Oryzias latipes: one gene and its partners. The protein of the gene in region 2 purifies or fractionates together with the protein of the main gene of each other region. This does not show direct contact. Links are inferred from orthologs where the notes say so. Each region holds a gene or a part of one and is shown on either strand. Other genes may lie near its edges.

Evidence for each region.
Region 1: the proteins of nufip2 (region 2) and atxn2 purify together in Homo sapiens (affinity purification with mass spectrometry; 3 studies listed by BioGRID and IntAct, counting the BioPlex papers as one, with this or other methods). This does not show direct contact. The link is inferred for Oryzias latipes from reciprocal best matches to the Homo sapiens genes NUFIP2 and ATXN2.
Region 3: the proteins of nufip2 (region 2) and ataxin-2-like protein purify together in Homo sapiens (affinity purification with mass spectrometry; 4 studies listed by BioGRID and IntAct, counting the BioPlex papers as one, with this or other methods). This does not show direct contact. The link is inferred for Oryzias latipes from reciprocal best matches to the Homo sapiens genes NUFIP2 and ATXN2L.

What each region holds. Positions count from the first base shown.
Region 1 is NC_019867.2:7,484,021-7,487,670, forward strand, and holds part of atxn2 (ataxin-2), read right to left. Parts: coding exon 3,405-3,650; intron 3,157-3,404; coding exon 3,093-3,156; intron 966-3,092; coding exon 819-965; intron 389-818; coding exon 371-388; intron 1-370. UniProt on the Homo sapiens protein: Involved in EGFR trafficking, acting as negative regulator of endocytic EGFR internalization at the plasma membrane.
Region 2 is NC_019872.2:16,922,519-16,926,168, forward strand, and holds part of nufip2 (nuclear fragile X mental retardation-interacting protein 2), read left to right. Parts: intron 1-1,438; coding exon 1,439-3,100; intron 3,101-3,650. UniProt on the Homo sapiens protein: Binds RNA.
Region 3 is NC_019877.2:7,560,889-7,565,290, reverse strand, and holds the start of ataxin-2-like protein, read right to left. Parts: upstream 2,902-4,402; 5' UTR 2,328-2,901; coding exon 2,206-2,327; intron 1,123-2,205; coding exon 1,083-1,122; intron 747-1,082; coding exon 690-746; intron 320-689; coding exon 248-319; intron 109-247; coding exon 1-108. Other genes in the region: protein MTO1 homolog, mitochondrial, read left to right, coding at 3,670-3,850, 3,937-4,136, 4,208-4,325. UniProt on the Homo sapiens protein: Involved in the regulation of stress granule and P-body formation.

The DNA of each region.
Region 1 (3,650 bases), on a different chromosome or scaffold from region 2:
ACAATAATCATAAAGAATAAGCAAAAAGCTCGTTTTTTTTTTTCTTTACTGGGGGGAACATGCACAGAGTATAAATAATGGATTTGAACCCAAAGTCTGCTCAGAACGTCTCCATAACATCATGCAAGTCCATCACAGAAATACTGCACCAGGAACAACCAGGCGTACATTCACTTTAGCTTGCAGACACGTCTTTGGTCGACAGAAACAAAACGTGGCGTTCAGGGCCACTCAATTGCAATAAGAAGTTGGCAAACCAACATCTGATGGATATTTAACAAGCAAGCAAAACATTTCAGTGTCGATTAGGGTTCAAAAGAAAAACGGGGGGTAAAAAGAAAGAAAAAAAAATCTAGAAAAATGCACAAACCTTCCATATTATGCTTTTCTAATGGAGCGAGAGAGACAGGAGGAGGGGGAGAAAAGGGAAGAAGAACCACTCTGGTTATGTATCGTCTGAATCTGATGTTGGATCACCAAGTTGTTCTTAAAGCAACACATTTAAAAAACTTTCATGAAAAAACAAAGTTGTAAAAACACTATGAGAAGTCTTCACAGTTTGTCACTTTTTAAAGCATAAAACATCCATAAATTCATATTCAGTTTACTTTTAGGAGTGAAAACAGATGATAAAGGACTCATGCATCCAAACACAGAACCTTTGTGAAAAAAAATCATCACATCATACGGAAGAAAACAAGTTAGCTTTCATTAAACCTGCCTTTCATGCTAACTCAGTGTTAGGTTTATGGCGATCTGAACTCAACAGCAGTAAAGCGCCCCCAGGTGGATCATTTGAGAATGCGGGCGAGTCTCACCTGAACTCCAGGACTGACAGGTGTGAGCGGATACATCTGAGGGAAGCAGACTGGCTGCCCGTACACAGTCTGAGGAGGAGGGACCACGATGGAGGGGCTGGGCTGGCCCTGGGGCCGGGGGGGTGTGGGGGTGTTGGCGGGTTTGGGCTAATAAAAGGCAGACAGGAACACAGAACGATAAGCAGAAACCTCAGATTATCATCAGATTCCATTGAAACAGCGACCTTGATCTGACCTTCTCCAAACAACCGTTTAAGGACTCACAGCACTGCAAGCTGCTCAATAAAAGAAACAGCAGCTGCAAAAATCAAGGGTCTAAACCAGGGGTCGGGAACCTATGGCTCGCGAGCCATATATGGCTCTTTTGATGGTCACATGTGGCTCGCAGACAAATCTTTAATTATAGTTTTTTTTTTTTTTCATTAGACCAGTCCTTCTCGGGCGCGATGCGATGCAAGAGGCGCGCAGTAGTAGCGGTGCTTGGAGAGAGAAATCTGCGCCAGCGCTATCAGTTACTATTATCTATTATTTCACAGAGTTTGTACCAGCTGGAAACCTGTGAATTGACGCGCCTAAAACTACGCGCTCCCGTCTCTGAGAAAGAGCGCGCAGATGCGGGGACGGGATGTGTGAGGGAGAAAGCAGAGGGTGGGGCTGAGGTGTTGTGGGGACAGGCAGCAGGTGAATCGCGCAGGGATTGTAAAAACGTAAAACCCGCTTCCCGTCACTCACTGCAGCGTGTGAGTGTGTGTTTGGCTCCGCGTCTGCATGTGATAAGAATGTCTCACATCTACAGAACATTCAGACCTACGATCACGTTTAAAGCCTCAACGCCTGAACGAAGCAGAAACTCACCACGTATCAACCAGACTAGACCATCAGCAAAACTACCACGAGAAATACTCAGCATTTATTAGCAACAGAATAACAATGTTATTAAAAAGAATCCACAGACTTATTGTACTTTAAAAATGTTGAAATTAAATCAAATGCACACATTCATTTGTGTATTTAGTTTTAAACAAATTGTCGCGGACTGAGTAGGATGGCTGTTGGGCCGCGTTAAAAGTTCTGGAGTTCATTGAACGCGTCAAGCAGAGATCTAATTGGCCCTCAGTTCTGTCGCTCAGCCTGTTGTTAGGTAGTTTGGACCAATGGGGTTCAGCTATGGGCCGAATAAGGAAATGGGAGGGGCTGGAGCGGGAGCAGGGGAATATAAAGTTGGGAGAAGCGCTCTCGTGTCGGCGGGAGAGATTCAGGAGTTGCTGAATTAATTGAACGGCGTTTGTTGCGGTCTGCAGTAACCAGAATAAAGAACTTTAAAAGAGGTTAAGTCTCCGTGCCTCAGTGTGGGGAAGGGACACTACATTATTGTATGGCTCTTTCGAAATTACATTTCAAAATATGTGGCATTTATGGCTCTCTTGGCCAAAAAGGTTCCCGACCCCTGGTCTAAACGTTTGAATCCATCTGTGGATGCGGAGGTTTATAGATCTCTGCACTCTCAAGCTGTGTTGAAACTTAACGTCACACAGACAAGTGACTGACATGGTTTGTTGTGACAAACCTCTAATTTTTACCTTTAGTGTCAGGAAACCATCGTTGTTTTCTTTTACCTTTCTCTTTCATGCTACATGATCAAATATTCCTCATTTTTTATGACCATGTTGTGTAACCACGAAGAATTTAAGGCAGCGGTTCGGATGTAGATCTCCATAGCAACAAACTGAAGCTGCGTTCACACCGAACGCTGCCTCCAGTCAAGCCCATGAAGACTCATTCAAAGGTGCTGCGACGTGCTCTGAGCGTCAGGCGCGCCGTTCTAGTAGCAGCCCTTTTGGGGCGCCACAGGAACTCCGCTTTGGCCCGTGACGTTACATTGGCAGCACAATCAGTGGGTGGAGTCTAAACCAAACATGGAAGAGAATCTTGTTCTCCTGAACTTTATGATATATTTTTTTACTTTTATTAAGATGATAAAAAAAATTTCCTCTAATTTTCGAATCGTCGGACAGAAAGTTGTCAAACTGGGGCCACAGCGAGAAATAAGTACCGCTGAAAATCGGCCGTCATTCAGATGGCGAGGCTCACCGTACTGGGAGAGTCTCTGAATGATCTCATCAACCCCGATTAAAGACGTGATCTGACACTATCTGGATCTCTTCAAAATCTCTAAACATCATCATCAGGTTGTTTCTATTTGGATGTTATTGATGGTGGTTATGTGGGATCCGTCTAATTCCTGGTTGTGAGCTGCTGCAGGATGACACTGACCTGACTGTTGAACCTGGGCTTGAACTCGTTAGCATTTGGGTTCAGAGTTGATTTTCGTACTTGACTGCAGAAAAATAAAAAGAGCAGAATTTCATTTTTCCATTAAAGGGCCAGTCCAGAAACTATTTTTTTATTTGGCAACTTAAATTTCAAGCATATTTTGAAGAAAAATACAGTTCTGTATTGCAAGATCTAAAGGAAACTTTTTTCATTTGGTTTTAAAAAAGGATCTAATCGGTAGAGAAACTTGAGGTTTACCACATGACAGAATATGTTTTACAACAGGAACATAAGCCATTCTTCTAAACTCACTCTTGTACTGCCTCCTTTTTCTCCTCCTTGTCCTCGTGTTTGGATCCGCTCAGTGTAGACGTCTGAACTCCTTGGGACGTCACATCCAGGCCCGTCCTCTTGGCGTCTGCTGCTGAAGGAGATGGAGAAAGGGCAGCAGGGCTATCCGGTTTACTAGCGTTTGTACTGGTAGTGGGGGGAACCGGCGCAGCCTCCGAAGCTTGAGCAGAATTCCCTGCACCATTATCCTCGGCAGCGTCCCGTCCC
Region 2 (3,650 bases):
TGATGTAAAGTACTAAAAATGGTTTTATGAAGTAAACAATGCAAAGCTTTAGAATGTATATAAGTGCATTCTCATATGATTTTTTGTATAGAGGGGATAACTTGGAGACCGACTCATTGACTGTGCAAAGCTTCATAAAGCGAACACCTGCTTATCAAAAGCTCTTAAACCAATTATTTGTATATGTGCGCGTGTGTTTGTGTATGCGCGTTATGGCTTACAAGATTTTTTTTTTTTTATTAGTTTCTTGCAGTTAAAGATTTTCAATTTTTTTTTCTTTAGTCTTTTCTCAGAATGTTGTTATGATCCAGGTGTGCACTTGGATGCAGGGTTGTGATGTTTCTCACAGTTATCAACTTTGGTTTAGGTTATGTCTTTTTTTCAATTTTAAATTCACAATTATAACATCGACAACAAAAAATAGCTTTGATTATTTTTATATTATCTGTTCAGCCAAATCATCAATGTGGTTTTAGAATGATGACCTGACATTTTCTCATAAGGAAGTTGTTGAGTTTTTCCACTCTTGGCCTCTTAAAAATGTTCTGTTTGTTTTTACCAAAGTCATGCATAAGCCACAGTTTTTAATTATAAGGTAAACATTGGCGTATTGATTCTTTACTGAATGTCAGGCCTTTTTACTTAAATGAAAAAAGTCGTGGACTAAACCATTGTGGAAAAAATCCAGAAAACTGAGTGAATTTAGCTCTGTAAGAAGAAAAGATGGAATCACCCCGCATGTTTGAAGGGTTTTCCAATTCTCTTTTATATGAAAGTGTAAGCAGAAGTGTTGCAGACTTTTCAAATTCAAAGGGCATGAAAGGGTGTAAAAAAACAAAGTCTGTACTTAATTGTAATCTAGAAAACTAAAGTAGCAAAGATTTATTTTGAATTTTTAGTGTAAATATGAAGTTATTTTTTATTTCTAGGAACAGTTTCATCTTATAACTTGCGTTTTTCTGTGAGTCTGGTAGGGTTACACATTGGAAATGTTATTTCCTAATGTCTATATTTTTAACAGTGTATTCACTCATATTTTGTGCATTAAACAGTTGCAGGTTTATTGCATTTTCTACCCCCTTTTCAGGGCCTTTAACCCTTGTGCTATCCTAGGCACTGTAACATTGGGAGTTGGGTCATCTAGACCCACTAGACAGTTCGCTGAACCTTTTTTTCTTCAATGATTTGTGATCTTCACTGGTGTCCACGGATTAAATGAAATCCTCTCCACCTTTATCCACCTTTGTCGTGGTAGGGATACCATGTCAATCTAAGGGTGGGGTCATCTGGACCCTATAAGATGGCACAAGGGTTAAGGTGTAGGGGTAAGGCTCAGTTACACATTGGAGTTTGCTTTTGGTGTAACATCTTTTGTATATTTTTGAAATCATTGATAGACTATTATATCAGCATATACTGACTTAAATTCTGTTTGCAGGCAATAAAAAAGTAAACGTCAGTGACGGGGAAGGGGAGAAGAACGCACACCTACCTGATGCTGTTGGTATGCTCCATTCTTCAAGCAGCAATGGTAACAGACACTTGAGTAACTCGCATGTGAAGCAAAAGGGAACACAGAGACACCACGCACCCGCTATGAAAGTAAGCAACAAAGGATTGGACTACAAGAAGACTATGGACCTTAAAAATGAGAAGGAAAAGACCCCAGATTTGAGTCCTCACGAGGCCCAGCCTTCAGAGAAGAAAGACTCTGCTTTGCTTCAGAACGGTGTTGTAAACTGTGGCTTAATTACAAATGGCTACTCTAGCAAGGATAACGATGGGAGCGGCTCTGAGGGTGGATACACCACCCCAAAGAAACGCAGGACCCGGTGTAACAACGTCAAGAACTTTGCTGATGTGACAAAAGAAAAGGAGAAGGACGCGCAACCCAGCAACAGTATGCAGGAACAAAGGGCTTTGAACCTTGATCCGGCCGAGAAAGGACTCTCCTGTAGAACTGATGGCTTTAAATCCACCCATAAAGCAGAAACCCAGTCAGCTGCACCTGGCGAATGTCAGAGGAAAAACTCTGACGGCAAAGCAGCTGCCACTTTTAATAAAAAAATGGAGGAAAAGCAGAAAGGCAAGAACTCCTCACCTTCTAAAGAGGACTCGTGGACTTTGTTTAAGCCCCTTCCAGCTTTTCCTGTGGACAATAGCAGTGCTAAAATTGTTCCCAAGATCAGTTATGCAAGTAAAGTAAAAGAGAACCTCAAAGTAGCTCAAGGTGGAGAAGAGGCAGCTCCTCCTCCTGTGAGAATGTCACAGGTTCCAATGTCTGCTATGAAAACGATCACCTCAGCTAGCTTTACTAATGGTCCTGTTTCTGGAAATGGAAACTGCTGCCCGACTGTGGGGATCTTTTTTGCTCCTGCTGCTAGTAGTCTTCAATCAGCTCCATCTATTCCAAGTGGCGAGAATGTAGCAACGTCTGTGGACAGTAACTGTAGCTCTACAACCAGTCCTGTCGATGGAGAAACCTATGAACTTCAGAAGTGTTCTCTTTTAATCTACCCTTTAAATATGCAACCTTTGCTCCCCAGCGCTCGTCACCTTGACCCACCGGCCGCTCAGACAAATCAGAAAGCCCTGAGAGACATCTTTCAGAATCAGTGGGGGCTGTCCTTCATCAACGAACCCAACTTGGGGCTGGACGGAGGAAACGGGCTCATAGCTGCGGAGGACCAGACTCCTGTGACTTCTCAGAGCGAGGCTAGGGCTGTGACGACCACGACCACCCATCCTTGCCTCAACGCTATGCCGTCATTGGTAGAATCTTGCACTTTGTCTCAAGACTCGCAGAAAAGAACTTGTGCCCCTTGCCAAGCATCAAACCCCTGTTCTCCTGCTTGCATGGTCAGCGAGGAGGAGACAAAGTTGCTTCCTTGTAGCCAGGGCAAGACTAAAGCTGAGACCAAGGGTGCAATTACTTCAATGTCAACCTCCAGTAAAGACAACGGTGCCAAGTCTGCACAGGGCCAACAGACCACGCTGTTGTTTGGCTCTCCTAAAGAACAGATCCATTCTAAAGACACTAGCAGGAGGTGTAGCTTGGGCTCCTTTGACCTTAAAGCTGCTGTCACCTATCACACTAAAGGTAACAGACTTTTACAACTTTTCAACCAACTTTCATAGAAGATGAGATGTATTCATTTAGAAGATTTTAAATATCTTTTTATCTGATCGGACAGAGCAGCAGGTATTGATGCACTTTAAATTCAAAACCAGGTTATTGCACTGATGCTCTTATCATTAAAATGCATTTGCATATAAATATAATCTCTGAATTACATGATGCCTGGAATGAATTATCTCATTTGAGATGATGAGCATCAAAGTTTAAAGTTTTGTTTCTGTTTGAATTTTATTTTTTCAAAGCTGCTTTATAGGAAGCTGAAAAAAATGTAAAGATATGATGGGTTTGGGATTCAAGCAACCATAAGAATTTAATTGTAACCTCATAAAAAGTGTAACCCCTTGATGACTGAATTATTATTATTATTATCAGCAATTATTATTCTCAGCAATGAAAAAAAAATCCGTTGTGTTTTTGCTTTCATGTATTTGCTAAATTAAAGGGGTTTGATGCATCTTTTCATTTATAGGCGTCAAAGGGTTAACAAAGGGCGTCTGGATTATTCTGGTGT
Region 3 (4,402 bases), on a different chromosome or scaffold from region 2:
GGGACTGAAGATCATCGTCTCTGTGATGTCCTCCCTCCGCGGTGGAGCTGCTGTCGACCCGTCATCATCAGGACCGCGTTTGTGTACAGCATCCACGGCCAACTCACACTAAAGCATTTTAAAGACAGCAGAACTTTAAAATGATTGCTATACATCAACCTTAAATAAACTTATTGCAAAAGAATAGTCCTAATCATGTTTTTGAAGCAACAAAGCAATTTCTGGCTAGCCAAGAGAAGCGTTTTACCCGGGAGCTGAGAGTCTTGAAAATGCCTTGAAAAACATTGCCATTCTTCACTCTTATGTCACAGGTGGACCCCTGCAAGCGAGAGAGAAAACTTATCCACTTTTAGATTCTTTTTCTTAATTATTGTCACGCAAAAAAGTAATATTTGGGTTAAAATAACTCCTTTTGGTCCCACAGATCTTTCTAAAGGGGTAAATTTTGGTCCGGTCAAAGGGTTTTGTGAGCAGTGTAATTAAGTATGAAAAAATAATGTACAAATAAAATTAAACAGGTAGCAAAAGTCAAATTCTCAGTTAACTTGGAGCAACCTGGCATAATCCAAAACATAAGAGAAAACTATAATAAAAAAAAAAACTTAAATATAGAAATATTTCCACACGTTTTGCTTGAATAAAGCCACAATTTCACAAAGATATTTTAGGCAATAATCTAAACAATTTACCACAACAGCTGTGAGGAAATGAAGCATTCTAGCATTGTTGTAGACTCCCTCAAAGACCTGTAAAGGAAAAACAGCCATTATTTTAGTAAAACAGTGAGCATCAAAATTAGAAAGAACATTTTTGGTTTACCCCGGAGGTGAAATTGCAAAAATCACTGAATACTCTCTTTATGCCAACACAGAACTCTTTGACTCAACAGAACTTTAACTCATTAACATGACTTTTCGTCACAGGTTGGCATTTGTCGCTCACAGGATTTTGTTAACCTGTTTTCCCAAATGCAAAACTAATGTTTCAACATTCATTGGATGATTTAATTCCCCATCTTTTTATGGTCTAATGTGGAGCAAAAGATTTCTAACTGATGAGTATTTCTGATAGATGACACTCACAGGAGTTGCCTGGAATGATGGCTTTGCAGAGGCTCGATTCCTGGAAAAAAAAAGGAATTGTTTGAAAGGTTGAAATATAGTTGTCTTCAAAGAGTTCACCGAATCTGTAGCTTAGTTAAATGTTGGTAGGCTTGCATATAGTCTATTCTCTTGATTTAATTTGATAGGGGTGTAGCGATTTATTTTAACGATTCAATTCATATTGTGATTTGTGGTTCCTGATAAGAGTCATAGTTGATATTGGTTTGTTTTAAATGATCAGATTCACTGGCTGATTTTAATCCAGGACGTCATAAACCTAAATAAATAAATAAATAAACACCTGGGTACTAAAAAGTGCAAATAATCCAGATTGTTTGTATTTCCTGCTAGATGATTAAATGCAAATGAAATATGTGTACAAAAAAACAAGTAAACCAGAGTTAATGGCACATCCATTCATATTTTTGCTTCATAAAGTTGAGCCCACTGATTGTTTTTCTTTACAAAAATAATATACGGAGCATTATTAGAAGATTATACCACACTTTGTGGTAACTAACACAATTCAAAGTGTTTCCACAGGCATTTGAATTTTTATTTAACAAAAGAAAGACTAGTTATCTTTCGATCTGGCCATTTAAAGGCGTTTTAATCGATGTGAGAGAAACATTTAGCTTTTATGCCAACGTGGAACTGCGTTACTACTGCCAGGTACAAGTGTTACAAAACGAAGCCACATTGACACTAGAAAACGTCTTCAAAATGCACACCCGAGTGGCTGGTCTGTTAGGTTTACGCGTAAGTTTACTTTTAATGTTTTGTTATAGATAAATATTCAAAGTCGAGATATTTGTCGAAAAGGGATCCTCTTTCTGACAATCCGACACAACCTAACCGCGACTTGCTGTTTGGTGCTTTCAACACACTTAGCCCCACCTTTCTGGTTCAGCTAAATCAGAATAAAGCCTTCTTGTTTGTCCATCCCTGCTGTCAATCACTAGACAATTAATGCAATTGGTTTAGAAAGCAGCTCTGTTTTGAGAGCCACGCCTACTGGTACGCTGCGTTTTAACCGGTAGGCCTTCTAAACACCAGAGAGAATCCTCGGCCTGTCCTAAGGAGGGACACCGAACGGGCCTACCTTCCAGCGGGTGTCCTGCTGCCGCTGTTCATCCCGCTGACTGGCGAAGACATACCGCCGGGCCCCGACGTTCCGTTAGACGTCTTTCTCCCGCCTGCGCCAGGCTGCTGTTGTTTTAGCATTGCGACGCACAAGGCTTAGACAGTACCACTTTATTAGCCAAACCCAATAAACAGGGTGCCTTCCAACGTAAAAATACTAACAAAACCAAATTTCCTTGCCTATATATCACCTATCGTAATAAGCAGAAAGCCGGTCCAACCTTAAAGACCGGCTAGTACTGCTAACAAATATCGACTGTGGCCTAAAATATTAAGGCAAAAAAACTTGAATTAAATACAGGATATACTTAGCCTCTTACCACCAAATATATTTACTTTAAAACCACAAAAGTAAAGTCCAAACTAATACCTAAAACACACTCGGTTCCGTGTAAATATTTAGCGATAGCAACAAGCTAAGTTAGCATTAGCTTTGATCCTCAAGCTCACTTCGAGTGCCTGCCTTCCTTCCTTCGGGATTTACTTTCTTCCCTCCGTCTCGTAACCTTAGCTCCGACGCCGCTGACTCTTCGGTTGAAAAGTTAGTACTTGGCGTTATTGTCAGTTTCCTTACGAGGTTTCAGTTATCAGGCTTCTTATTGAAAACCTGCTGCGGTCGGTCAACACCACCTTTCGGTAGGCTCACTTGACTCAATCCGCGCTCGGCTGACTGGAAACCGGCTGGAAGGGGGAGGGGGCAGAGATGTGCTTTAGCACTTTTGACCTACTACTGCGAGCGGGTACACGGAGTAATTTCTGCACTGATTCAGATTCATTTATTTTAAAATCACAATTTTCTGTCACCAAAGCAGGGGGTTTGATCTGTACACGTGGCAGTATCTACACAAAACACGTTGCTTGTAAAATGTGGCATTTAATATTATTATTATTACACATTTTTAACTCCGCTTTTCCTCATTTTAACAACAGTGACTGCACTTTAACTTTATTTTATATGATTTATACATAATCAAAAACTTTTAAGGACATATTGCATAAAGATGCCAAATTTTGGCTGCGCCTGGATTAGGGGTATTACGGTTTTCAGCTTCAACCATCATGGCGGCGCCCGGGAAGATCATTGGGCGTTTTGTAATTTTTCTTAAAAAAGGCTCTTTGTTTGTCTTTTTCTTAATTTAAAATTGGATAGTTATTATTGACATATTTCTTTTAATAATCAAGAAACTGTAAGTCCTTTTTGTATTTGGGGGATATCATTTATAGTGTGAATAGTATGTAAAAGTATAACATGTGAGTAATAAGCTTAGATCTATAAGAATTGTTGCTCTTATCAGGTCAGTCTGCTGTTATACTGAAGTGTATTATTACTTATAACATTGCCATAGAAGATGTCTGGGGAGAAAAGCAGTTTTGTTGAACTTTTTAAGTGTTTGAGTCTTATTTTGACAGGTATGGATCACACATGAAGCTCCAACCTGTGCGGATGATCCATTCTCTGGTTTCCAGGTGCATCAGTCACCTGTCCAGACAGTGTTATGATGTCATTGTGGTGGGTGGAGGTCATGCAGGGACCGAGGCGGCGGCTGCTGCTGCGAGAATGGGAGCTGAGACGCTTCTGGTCACACAGAAAACACACACAATTGGTAGGATTTTATGAACAAAAATGTATCTTAAATTCTGAGCAGCTGGACGCATATGGATTGTTCCTACTTGATCAATGTTTTACCAGGTGCGCTGTCCTGTAACCCCTCGCTGGGAGGAGTGGGGAAGGGTCACCTTGTCAGGGAGGTAGATGCTCTGGATGGGTTGTGTGGACGAGCTGGAGACTGGGCTGGGATTAATTTCTCCATCTTGAATCGGAGAAAGGGGCCCGCAGTGTGGGGGCCGAGGGCTCAGCTGGACCGCCAGCGTTACAGGGAATTCATTCAGGTATTATACACATACTAATAATTGTCAGATTGACTTTAAATGTCATGACAGACTTATGTGTTTTTCTGCAGGGTGAACTGCAGTCCATCAGTAGATTGACAGTCCTGGAGGGCTCTGTGGAGGACCTACTGGTGGCAGAACCAAATCCAGATGAGCCTGGCAGCCACAGAGTAACTGGGATAAGTTTGGGTATGCAGCACACACATATGACACTAGAATCTGAGAGTGGATAAATTACATTATTTTATTTCTCTTTTTACTGTCAA